Linked DNA regions of Nothobranchius furzeri. The protein of the gene in region 1 interacts with the protein of each later gene in a biochemical or structural test. Links are inferred from orthologs where the notes say so. Each region holds a gene or a part of one and is shown in the gene's direction. Other genes may lie near its edges.

Evidence for each region.
Region 2: the proteins of disks large homolog 4 (region 1) and ctnnd2b interact in a test that uses a peptide from one of them, tested with the Homo sapiens proteins (2 studies listed by IntAct, with this or other methods). The link is inferred for Nothobranchius furzeri from reciprocal best matches to the Homo sapiens genes DLG4 and CTNND2.

Annotation. Positions count from the first base shown.
Region 1 is NC_091750.1:46,441,874-46,446,403, forward strand, and holds the start of disks large homolog 4, read left to right. Parts: upstream 1-1,441; 5' UTR 1,442-2,302; coding exon 2,303-2,419; intron 2,420-2,510; exon of another isoform or gene 2,511-2,597; coding exon of another isoform or gene 2,598-2,639; intron 2,640-4,530. UniProt on the Homo sapiens protein: Postsynaptic scaffolding protein that plays a critical role in synaptogenesis and synaptic plasticity by providing a platform for the postsynaptic clustering of crucial synaptic proteins.
Region 2 is NC_091751.1:61,421,934-61,426,354, reverse strand, and holds the start of ctnnd2b (catenin delta-2b), read left to right. Parts: upstream 1-1,523; 5' UTR 1,524-1,813; intron 1,814-4,421. UniProt on the Homo sapiens protein: Has a critical role in neuronal development, particularly in the formation and/or maintenance of dendritic spines and synapses. Involved in the regulation of Wnt signaling.

The DNA of each region.
Region 1 (4,530 bases):
CCTGTGTATTTAAGCCCTGTCTTGTCTCAGTCTCTTGTCGGCCCATTGTTTGTATTCTGTCTGCGTTTGTTTGTGCTCTTTATGAGCTTTTTGTCTCGTCCCCAGACTTTGTGCTCTAGGTGAGCTTCTGTTTCAAAGTCTTTGGTCTTCGTGCTCTTTGAGAGCTTTGGGTGTCCTGTGCTCCAGGACTTTGGACTTTAGGCTCGTTGCCTTGGATTTATTTTTGTTAAAACTCTAATAAAATAATTTTTTCCTTATATTTACTCCTGCCTCATGTCCTCCTGGGTATCTGCATATTTGGGTCCTAAACATCCCCGAAACGTGACAAGTTTCTCAATATGCGTACTTGTGAAACGTCACTGAAAATGGCATCATCATCAACACTGGCCCAAGTATTGTTCCAATCTACCATGGCAAGTTCCCTCAAGATTGCGTCAACGCAACCTTCTGCAGACTTGGGCCTGCAAGGACAGTGGCTTGTAATTCATCATGCTTAGGATTACAAACCGTTGTACCTCAAACTGAAAATGGCATAGGAGAAAGCTCGTAGCTCTAGAGTATTCATGTCAAAAATACAAATAATGAAGTCTAGAAAAATAAATTAAAAGTTGTTTCTTATTGTAGATAATTGTCCATCCATCCATTCATTATCTGTACCCGCTTGTCCACGCAGGGTCACGGGGGGCTAGTGCCTATCTCCAGCAGTCTACGGGTATAAAAGCGGGTACACCCTGCACAGATTGCCAGTCCATCGCAGGGCAACACAGAGACACACAGGATAAACAATTAACCATGCAAACATTCACACCTAAGGACACTTTAGAGACACCAGTCAACCTGAACGTCATGTTTTTGGACTGTGGGAGGAAGTGGGAGTACCTGGACAGAACCTGTGCATGCACAGCGAGAACATGCAAACTCCATGCAGAAAGACCCCAGGTTGGAATGTAAACCTAACGCTAACAACTGTGTAGCCCACCATAGATAACTGTGCGTGTAACCCATACATTTGCTGTGTGGGTTTTATAATACCTCAAAATGAAACTTAGCTCATCCACTATTAAAATAAAACCAACGTAGCTTTAAACAGCTCTGTTTGATGAAAAAGTAACATATTTTTCTTCAACATGCCGTGACGTAATGGAGTACGGTTCAGATCCAAATGCCGTCCTTGTACCCCCGTATTCGTTAGAACGGACTTTCTCCTGTACTTATCAAGAACGCACTTGTCAGTTACTCAAGAACATGCTAGCATAAACATCCCAGTTTTTACGTTGTGGACTTAAAGAATGCTTGTGACTGCACACCTCACTTCCAGTTGTTACTGCTAGGCGTTCTGGAAGATCACTGTTGGTCCATGAAACCCAAATGGTCCCTGAACATCGATGATGTGGACATTACCATCTTCCTGTGGAGAAGAGTGAGTTCAGATTCATCTGAGCAGCTCATCAGTGCCGAGGAGAATCACGGCTCCTCTGCATCAGCGTGAGCCAGCTGAGATCATTGGCACATCTGCTAAGGATGTCCTCTGGGTACCTGTTTCCAGCATGACCCACCAGGAGGAGGCCTCCAAACAGATTTAGTAGGAATGGAGTAGTTAGATTTCCTAGCTGGTGTGGGAATGCTTTGGTTTTCCCTCGGTAGGGCTGGAAGAGGTCGCTGGGGAAATGGGGGGAGGTGTAGGGATCTCTGCTAAGGCTGCAGTCTCTGCAACCTGGTTACATATAAGACCATGGATGGATGAGTGCTTCAGTCCTTCCTCTGTCTCGCTCACCTCAGAAAACGTCTTCCACCAAACCTTAGAATTTAAAAGTTTTAGCAGGACAGCTCAGAGTGTTATCATCCCAACAAACCATCCTGTTAAGATTCTCGTGGGAATTCTGCAAAAGCAGGACAGACATCAATGTTGGACCAGTTTTCTGTAGGAATCTACTTTTTCCCCTTCGGGAGAGACTAGACTGGCTCCAATAATGGCCAAAACTTTGTAGTCGTTCAGGATCTTCGAGGAGGATCAGCAGCATGAGTCTGATAAATGAAGACGTGTGAAGGAGGATCTGCACAGAGAATAAAATGATATGGATGCACAGAAGTGTCAGAAATCTGCATGTTGAATATTTATGAAACAAGTTCCCTCTTATGTAACAGACACTTTTCTATGGGCTCTTTATTTCTGACATTGTTTCAGCGCAGGAGCAAAAGAAAGAGGCAGCGATGATAACATACTACGGAGGGTTGATTCACTGTCTCTACGTCTCCTCTCCTTGTCCCTCCCTCACTCATCGGCAGCAGCCAACATATTTTTATGAGTCACGGTCGGAGCAGACCGCTCGTCCCGTCTTTTCAGCCTCTTGCCTTTAATATCAAGATATATCCAACAGCAACAACTCTGGCTTCCAGGAAAACTCTCGCTCCTCGTCTGGTACGACACGTCCCTCCCTCCTCTTGTCTCGCCCTCCCTCTCTTTTTATTTCCTCTTCCCCTTCCCCAGCCTCGCACCCCCCCCCCTCTCTCTCTTTCTTTCTTTCTTTCTTTCTCCCCATCCCTCCCCTCCTTTACTGCGGGTGTCTGGGAGGCTGTTTTTCCTCTGTCTCTTGCTCATGAAGGGCCGCACTAAGCTCCCTTCTCTCTGCCCATGTGTGGTAGGTAAATTCACCTCTGTGTTTGTGACGTTCTTCTCTTTTCCATCTCTCTGTTGCTGCCTCTGATTTGCATGTTAGCTCAGAGTCTGCAGGCTTGAGGGGAGCTCCGTGTCTACATGTGTGTATATTGCATCGAACATGCTCGTCATCACGCTCGTCATGGAGAAATCACAAACATGTGAATGGGGATTTGGTCATTCCTTCATGTGCATTTTCCACGTATGAACACGGCCTGACACATGTACCGGTGGATCAGGGAGCATGTTCTGAAATGCGTAGGGAGGAAAACTCCAGCAGACTTGTTGATTAAAACATTGTTTGTTCCATTTAACGGCAGGTTATGCCGTAGCTTTCTTTTGTGAATTAATCACGTTGGTGTGCATTTCCATCCTACAGACCCCAGTCAGGGCCAGGTATAAAACTGTTGTGGCAGGAATTTGATATATGATTGGTGTTTATGTGCGGAAGGTGTTATGTTGCCTGTGTAAGCCTGAGAGGGTTGGTTTTAATGGGGAAGCAGAAGTCAGCACAACACCGGATGTGAAATGAGGGTTTAGGGACCGTCCACAAACTGCAGCATTAATATTCAGCAACATCTATGTCCCATCACTGAACCCTTATTAGATGTTTACGAATCGTGTTTGTGTTTCCGTCTGATGTCGTTGCATTAGTTTAAACGTTTGCTGAAGCTTCATCTTTGGTTTTTGATGTGGCTCCTGTGGACGTTAAGCTCAGAGAATGGTTTGTTTTGATTCAAATTAGACTGAGTGTAGAAGGAAGGTGACATTATTGAATTTCTTTAAGAGTTATTGGTACCATTATCTAACCTGGACCGTCCCTCCCTGCAGGAATACTCCTCAGTTTTGTCCCTTTGCCGGGTTTCTGCTGTTGCCACGTTGTTCTGTTGTGTCATGGGTGATTCTGCAGGTTGAGTGCTTTGCAGTCTTGTTTCTGATTTTATTGTATTTCTGGTACTTCCTGTTTTATTTTGTGCATTCACTTCCTGTCTCATTACAGGCAGCTTCACGACATGAGGCTCCTCACTAATCAGCCTCATGTCTTGCACCTGGGTCCTGGCTTCTCCATTTAAGCGTCTTTGCAACAGTTTCCTTTGCCAGTTTGTCTTCTCCTGTTGTGTGATGTGAACCTGCTCTCAGAAACACTTGGTAAAAGTGTATTCAGTTAGATTTGGACTTTTCAGTTGTGTTGTACTCCAGGAATCCCTTCTGCTTATTAAAACTGGGTGAGCTCTGCATTTGAGTCCTCTTTGTGCTTTGATATGTTGCTTCTTTGTGGTCATTACCTTCATTGGGGAGATTTTGGTTTTCCTCTTCAGAGTTTTTGATTCAAACAAAAAAAAAATGCAGCATTAAAAGCTTTTAAACAACTCTGTTTCCAGCTAGATTACAAATCACTCCCCTCAGGCCTTCTCCTGAGGGCCATTAGAACCTTTGTGTTTCCGATGTTTTGATCCCGTTTCTGATGATGTGGGTTGATGTGAAACTGCCTGGAGGTCAGATTCTGAGTCAGCTGAATCTCCAGACCTCCATCTCTGTTTAATCTACTGTCGTGGCCAAAAGTTTTGAGAATGACACAAATAGTAGTTTTCACAACATTTGCTGCTAAACTTCTTTTAGATCTTTAGTTTAGTTGTTTCTGTGATGTACTGAAATATGATTACAAGCACTTCATGCGTTTCAAAGGCTTTTATCAACAACTACATGACATTGATGCAAAGAGTCAGTATTTGGAGTGTTGGCCCTTCTTTTTCAGGACTTCTGCAGTTCGACTGGGCATGCTCTCAATCAACTTCTGGGCCAAAGCCTGACTGATAGCAACCCATTCTTTCATCATCACTTCTTGGAGTTTGTCAGATTTAGTGGGTTTTTGT
Region 2 (4,421 bases), on another chromosome or scaffold:
CATCAGGTAAGCATCGTGTAATTCACCTGTAGAAATATTCCGTTGTTTTTACAAACTAATTTTGGCAGCTGTGGTTGCCAGAATAATTCTGTAAAAAATACTTTAAACATGTAAACTGTTTTACTGAACATACAGTAAATTACAATGTTGTTTACTTGTTAAATTTACATACTGCCTCATTATTTTATGCACGTTTTTAGTGTGATTTTATAAGGGATATTTTGTTAAAATAATGATTTTTTTACTGTATTTAGGTCACTGCCGCTCTTGCACTAGCTGAGCCTAGATTTTAACATGTACTGTTTAACCATGAAATTTAAATGTAGGGTAAGACCCAGTGCATTTAACATAACGCTGCGTTTTTGAAAATGTGTTGAGATATGACATGTTTGTGGAGCTGGGTTCCGACTATCGGTATGGTCCCCTCCCCTCAGCGGCAGCTCGGCGCATCTCTGATCGCAGCGGCGCCTGTCCAAATAATATCCAAAAAGGAACGCACAAATGCTTCAACTAATGGTCTAAGTTGAGAGACTGAAAATGGCGGAACAGTTTTCAGGCGAGGCCGAGGCTCAGGCTGAGGCCTTTCCCCAGCGCTAGCGCTGCAGTCACGTGGGCCTGATGCTCATTAATTATTCAGAATTTTAGGCATTTAATACACTTAAACAGAAGAGTGACAAAATTCTGCCCCCTCAGAGTTGTCATGAGTGTAAACTAGATCATTTAAACCTAAAACAAGTTTTGGAACCAGGCTGTGAACATGTTTATTTCTGCTGTGAATTTGGTACTTTTAACATGGGAGTTAATGAGGATTTGCTCGCTTCTGACACCAGCCCCTAGTGGATGAGGGTAGAACTGCAATTTTTTTCACTTCCGTGTTGGCTTCAGTTTCAGACCCGAATTATGGGGGCTTGTGTCAGACCAGCGGAAGGGGCACAACGCAGTTTAAAGTACTATTGCCATAGTAACGTCCACCATTGACAAGAACAGTGGTGGTCGGACAAAATGAAAATTAAAATACTTTTATTTAGAAACTTTTAGAAAATGTAGTGGAGTAAAAAGTACTGATAACTGCTTTAGTGGAGTAAAAGTTTAAAGTAGGCCTTTTTTATTCGATTGAATAATTTTTTCATACTAACACAGGAAAAAGGGAAAAAGGATCATAAACCTATCTCAGCTTAACCCCCCCCCCCCCCCCCCCTCCCATTGAAAATCACATACATCGGGACCAAAGCCTCGACTTAAGAGGTGCTCAATGTTGTTCTAAGCTTTGCTGCCATGGAGCAAACACTAACCAGCTGTTGCACGCCTGTGGCACTAACAGTTCTCCATATATAAGTAATAATCTCCATCACCAGTGGGTGTCGCTGCTGACGCTGGTACCCAAGCGGTCTGCCAGTCTGTCTGGCACGGATGGGGAGGATGTTTTATTGTGAGCAATGAGAGAGAGAGAGAGAGAGAGAGAGAGAGAGAGAGAGAGAGAGAGAGAGAGAGAGAGAGAGAGAGAGAGAGAGAGAGAGAGAGAGAGGGAGGGCGCGGAAGGGAGGGGAAGCACCTCTGCCGCTCTCCTTGCCTCCTGTGCGCAGTGCTCCGGCCCAGCCGCTCCTACCTTCCCACATCATTTCCTCCCCACAGCTGGCGTCTCCCCTCTGTCTGATGCAGGCTTTCTTCTCACTAACCGAGCTGGAGCAAAGACTTCGGAGGGGTGGAATGACCGTCTGCCTGCTCTGCATGGTCTGAATCTCGGGAAATTCGCACGTCGAGAGTCAAGTGGGAAGAAAGGAGACTCTCCATCCCCGAGGGATTTTATTTTACAGTAAGCAGGCGCAATGTCATTCCTACCGCTTCCTCTTCTCGCTAGAGCCCGTCTCTGCACCTCTCATCTGTTCAAAATGCTTGACGGGAAAATTGTTGGAATGTGACAGCCTGCTGGGAATATGGCCGGATGTAGTACATGAGTGGATGAGTGCGCCAGATGTGTTTTTAACAGATTTATTTAGCGCCAGTTTACTAAAACGTGTGGTGTGAATGGTGTCTTTGTAATTCTCGTGAAGCGCTGATGGGATTTTGCGCGCTTGCGTTGATTCTGCACTGAGAACGGGATCCCCCCCCCATTTCATCTCAGCTGGCTGTGCATCAATCCATCCGAGGCCGGAGTGTGTGGGGGTCGCAGCGATGAGCGGGGGTTTGCTGTGGAAACGCTTTTACTTTCTGATTGACCCAAATTTGAGCGATATTCGGGAGATTATCGCGCGTGACAGCGGCCCAACGTGCTCTGGCTGCGCGTCTTTGTGCCTTTGCAGAGAGACGCTTGGACCTTGTAGCCTATTTTTTGTTTCCCTCTGCCGTCATGAAAGCATGTGCACGTTTATGAAGTGCACCTTGCTGCATGAGCTCCAGCTCCGTGGTGATCACTAAAAAGACTGTTTCTGATCAGTAGCAAGCTGTTTCTCCTCTTCACCCTGGAGTAATCTCACTCATCACGCAGCCAACGCCGGGTTTCTGTTTTAGCAGAGATCCTCAGAACGTTTGCTCCTTGGAGCTGTCTTAGATTGTTTTAACTGTCCTCTTTGTGCTTGAGACACGCCCTTCAGAAGCATGCAGGTTACTCTAGCCATGCTCAGCTCCATGCTCTTATTTCATTAATCTCTTGGGTTTTTAGTGTTGTTAAACATTTGACATGCCCAGTAAAGATGTCTCATCCGCTATATGTCCGTTATGCTAAGGGAAACATGGCCGAGTTTGGCGGTTTATTAAATGATTTAGACCAAAAGGTGCATAGCAGGCAGGTGATAGTCCAGAAAGGTGCAAGGATGAAAAAAATACCTAACAATTAAAAGTGACAGGGTGATAAAGACGAGGATCTGGTAGTGGACGTGCAGATGAGTGAGTGCAGGTGAAGGATGACAGATATGAGTAAGAGGTACAGGTACAGATGAGCTGAGGAGAAACAATATGAGCCCTTTTGACATGTTTTATTGAATGTAGACAGTGTGTTAAATCAAAAATCAGCATGCGGAAATTTACGTGACAAAACTATGAATGTATAAGAAGTTATACAGTAATGATTATATTCAACAGAATTATAATAGTTTCTTATATTGTACAGCTCTAAATGAGAGAGTAGAGAAAGTCTACTGTGGCTGCATCCCATTTAGAGGTTCTGCTCATTAGTATTCGAACAACCAAAGTGTGCAGCCACATGTTTGGAATGCTGCCCTTGTTAGTACATGTGTGCTTCTCCTCGTCTTGCCAGTGAAAATGGGTCCGCTGAAAAGTGAACACACATTAAAGGCCGTGGTAGTTTTGCTCATTCATGCATGAATTATGACAGAGGTCAAGGGTGGACCCCCCCCCCCCTCCTCCACACACACACACACACACACACACACACACACACACACGGGCTGCACGGTGGCGCAGTGGTTAGCACTGTTGCCTGGCAGCACGAAGGTTGCAGGTTCGAAACTCGGCTCAACTGCGGCCTTTCTGCGTGGAGTTGCGTGTTCTCCCCATGCATGCGTGGGTTTCCTCCGGATACTCCGGTTTCCCCCACAGATCACAACATGCCCTATAGGTTATAAATTGTAAGTCGCTTTGGATAAAAGCGTCTCCTAAATGAATATACATAAACACACACACACACACACCCTCTCCACCCCAACCATCCTTATTCATCTTTAGGTGCAAAACACATACGTTTAAACTGAATTTGAACTTTGTTTCCTTCAAAACTTTTTTTCAAATATCCACTCAAACATGCATTTAGATTTGTGAAAAATCGACAAATTATTGACTCAGCTGCCCTGGGGCGCACTGACAGGGGCGAGGCCACCGGCCACTCCCTTTCCAACCACCATCGGCAGACAAGGGGGGTGTAGGGTCTTGCCCAAAGACACAACCTAGCCATGAGCGGGGCTCGAGCCTTCAACCTTAGGATTACTGGGTAGGCACGCAACTCTTCTGCCACCATCGCCCCATAATTATCTTAATTAAATGATAAAAATGCCATTGAAACTTAATTCACAGACATAATTAGCAGCCAATAAAGTGATGCACTAGAATCAAAGTGGTGGCTTAATTGCAAGTATCCCGACAGCTTCTGTCTGACCATAGTGCATGAAAGGGTTAAACATCAGGGGATCTGCTTTTGAGTGTTTTGTGAATTTCAATCAGTCAAGTCACTTTCATGAAACAAGGTTAGAAGATGTTTGAATTAGCAAGTTTCAGCATGATGCCCTGTTTATAATCTAGTTAAAAGCTTTTTTAGCAAGCTTTTGGTGCTGCTAAAGTAGGCTAGCGGTCCATGCCAGCTGCGTTGCACGGTTTATTCTAGCAGGTGAGTATGCAACTGGTGAAGAGCTCTGGGCTGAAGTGTGAAAATCCCCTGAATGTAAATGGAGTTCAACAAAATATCTGTAAAA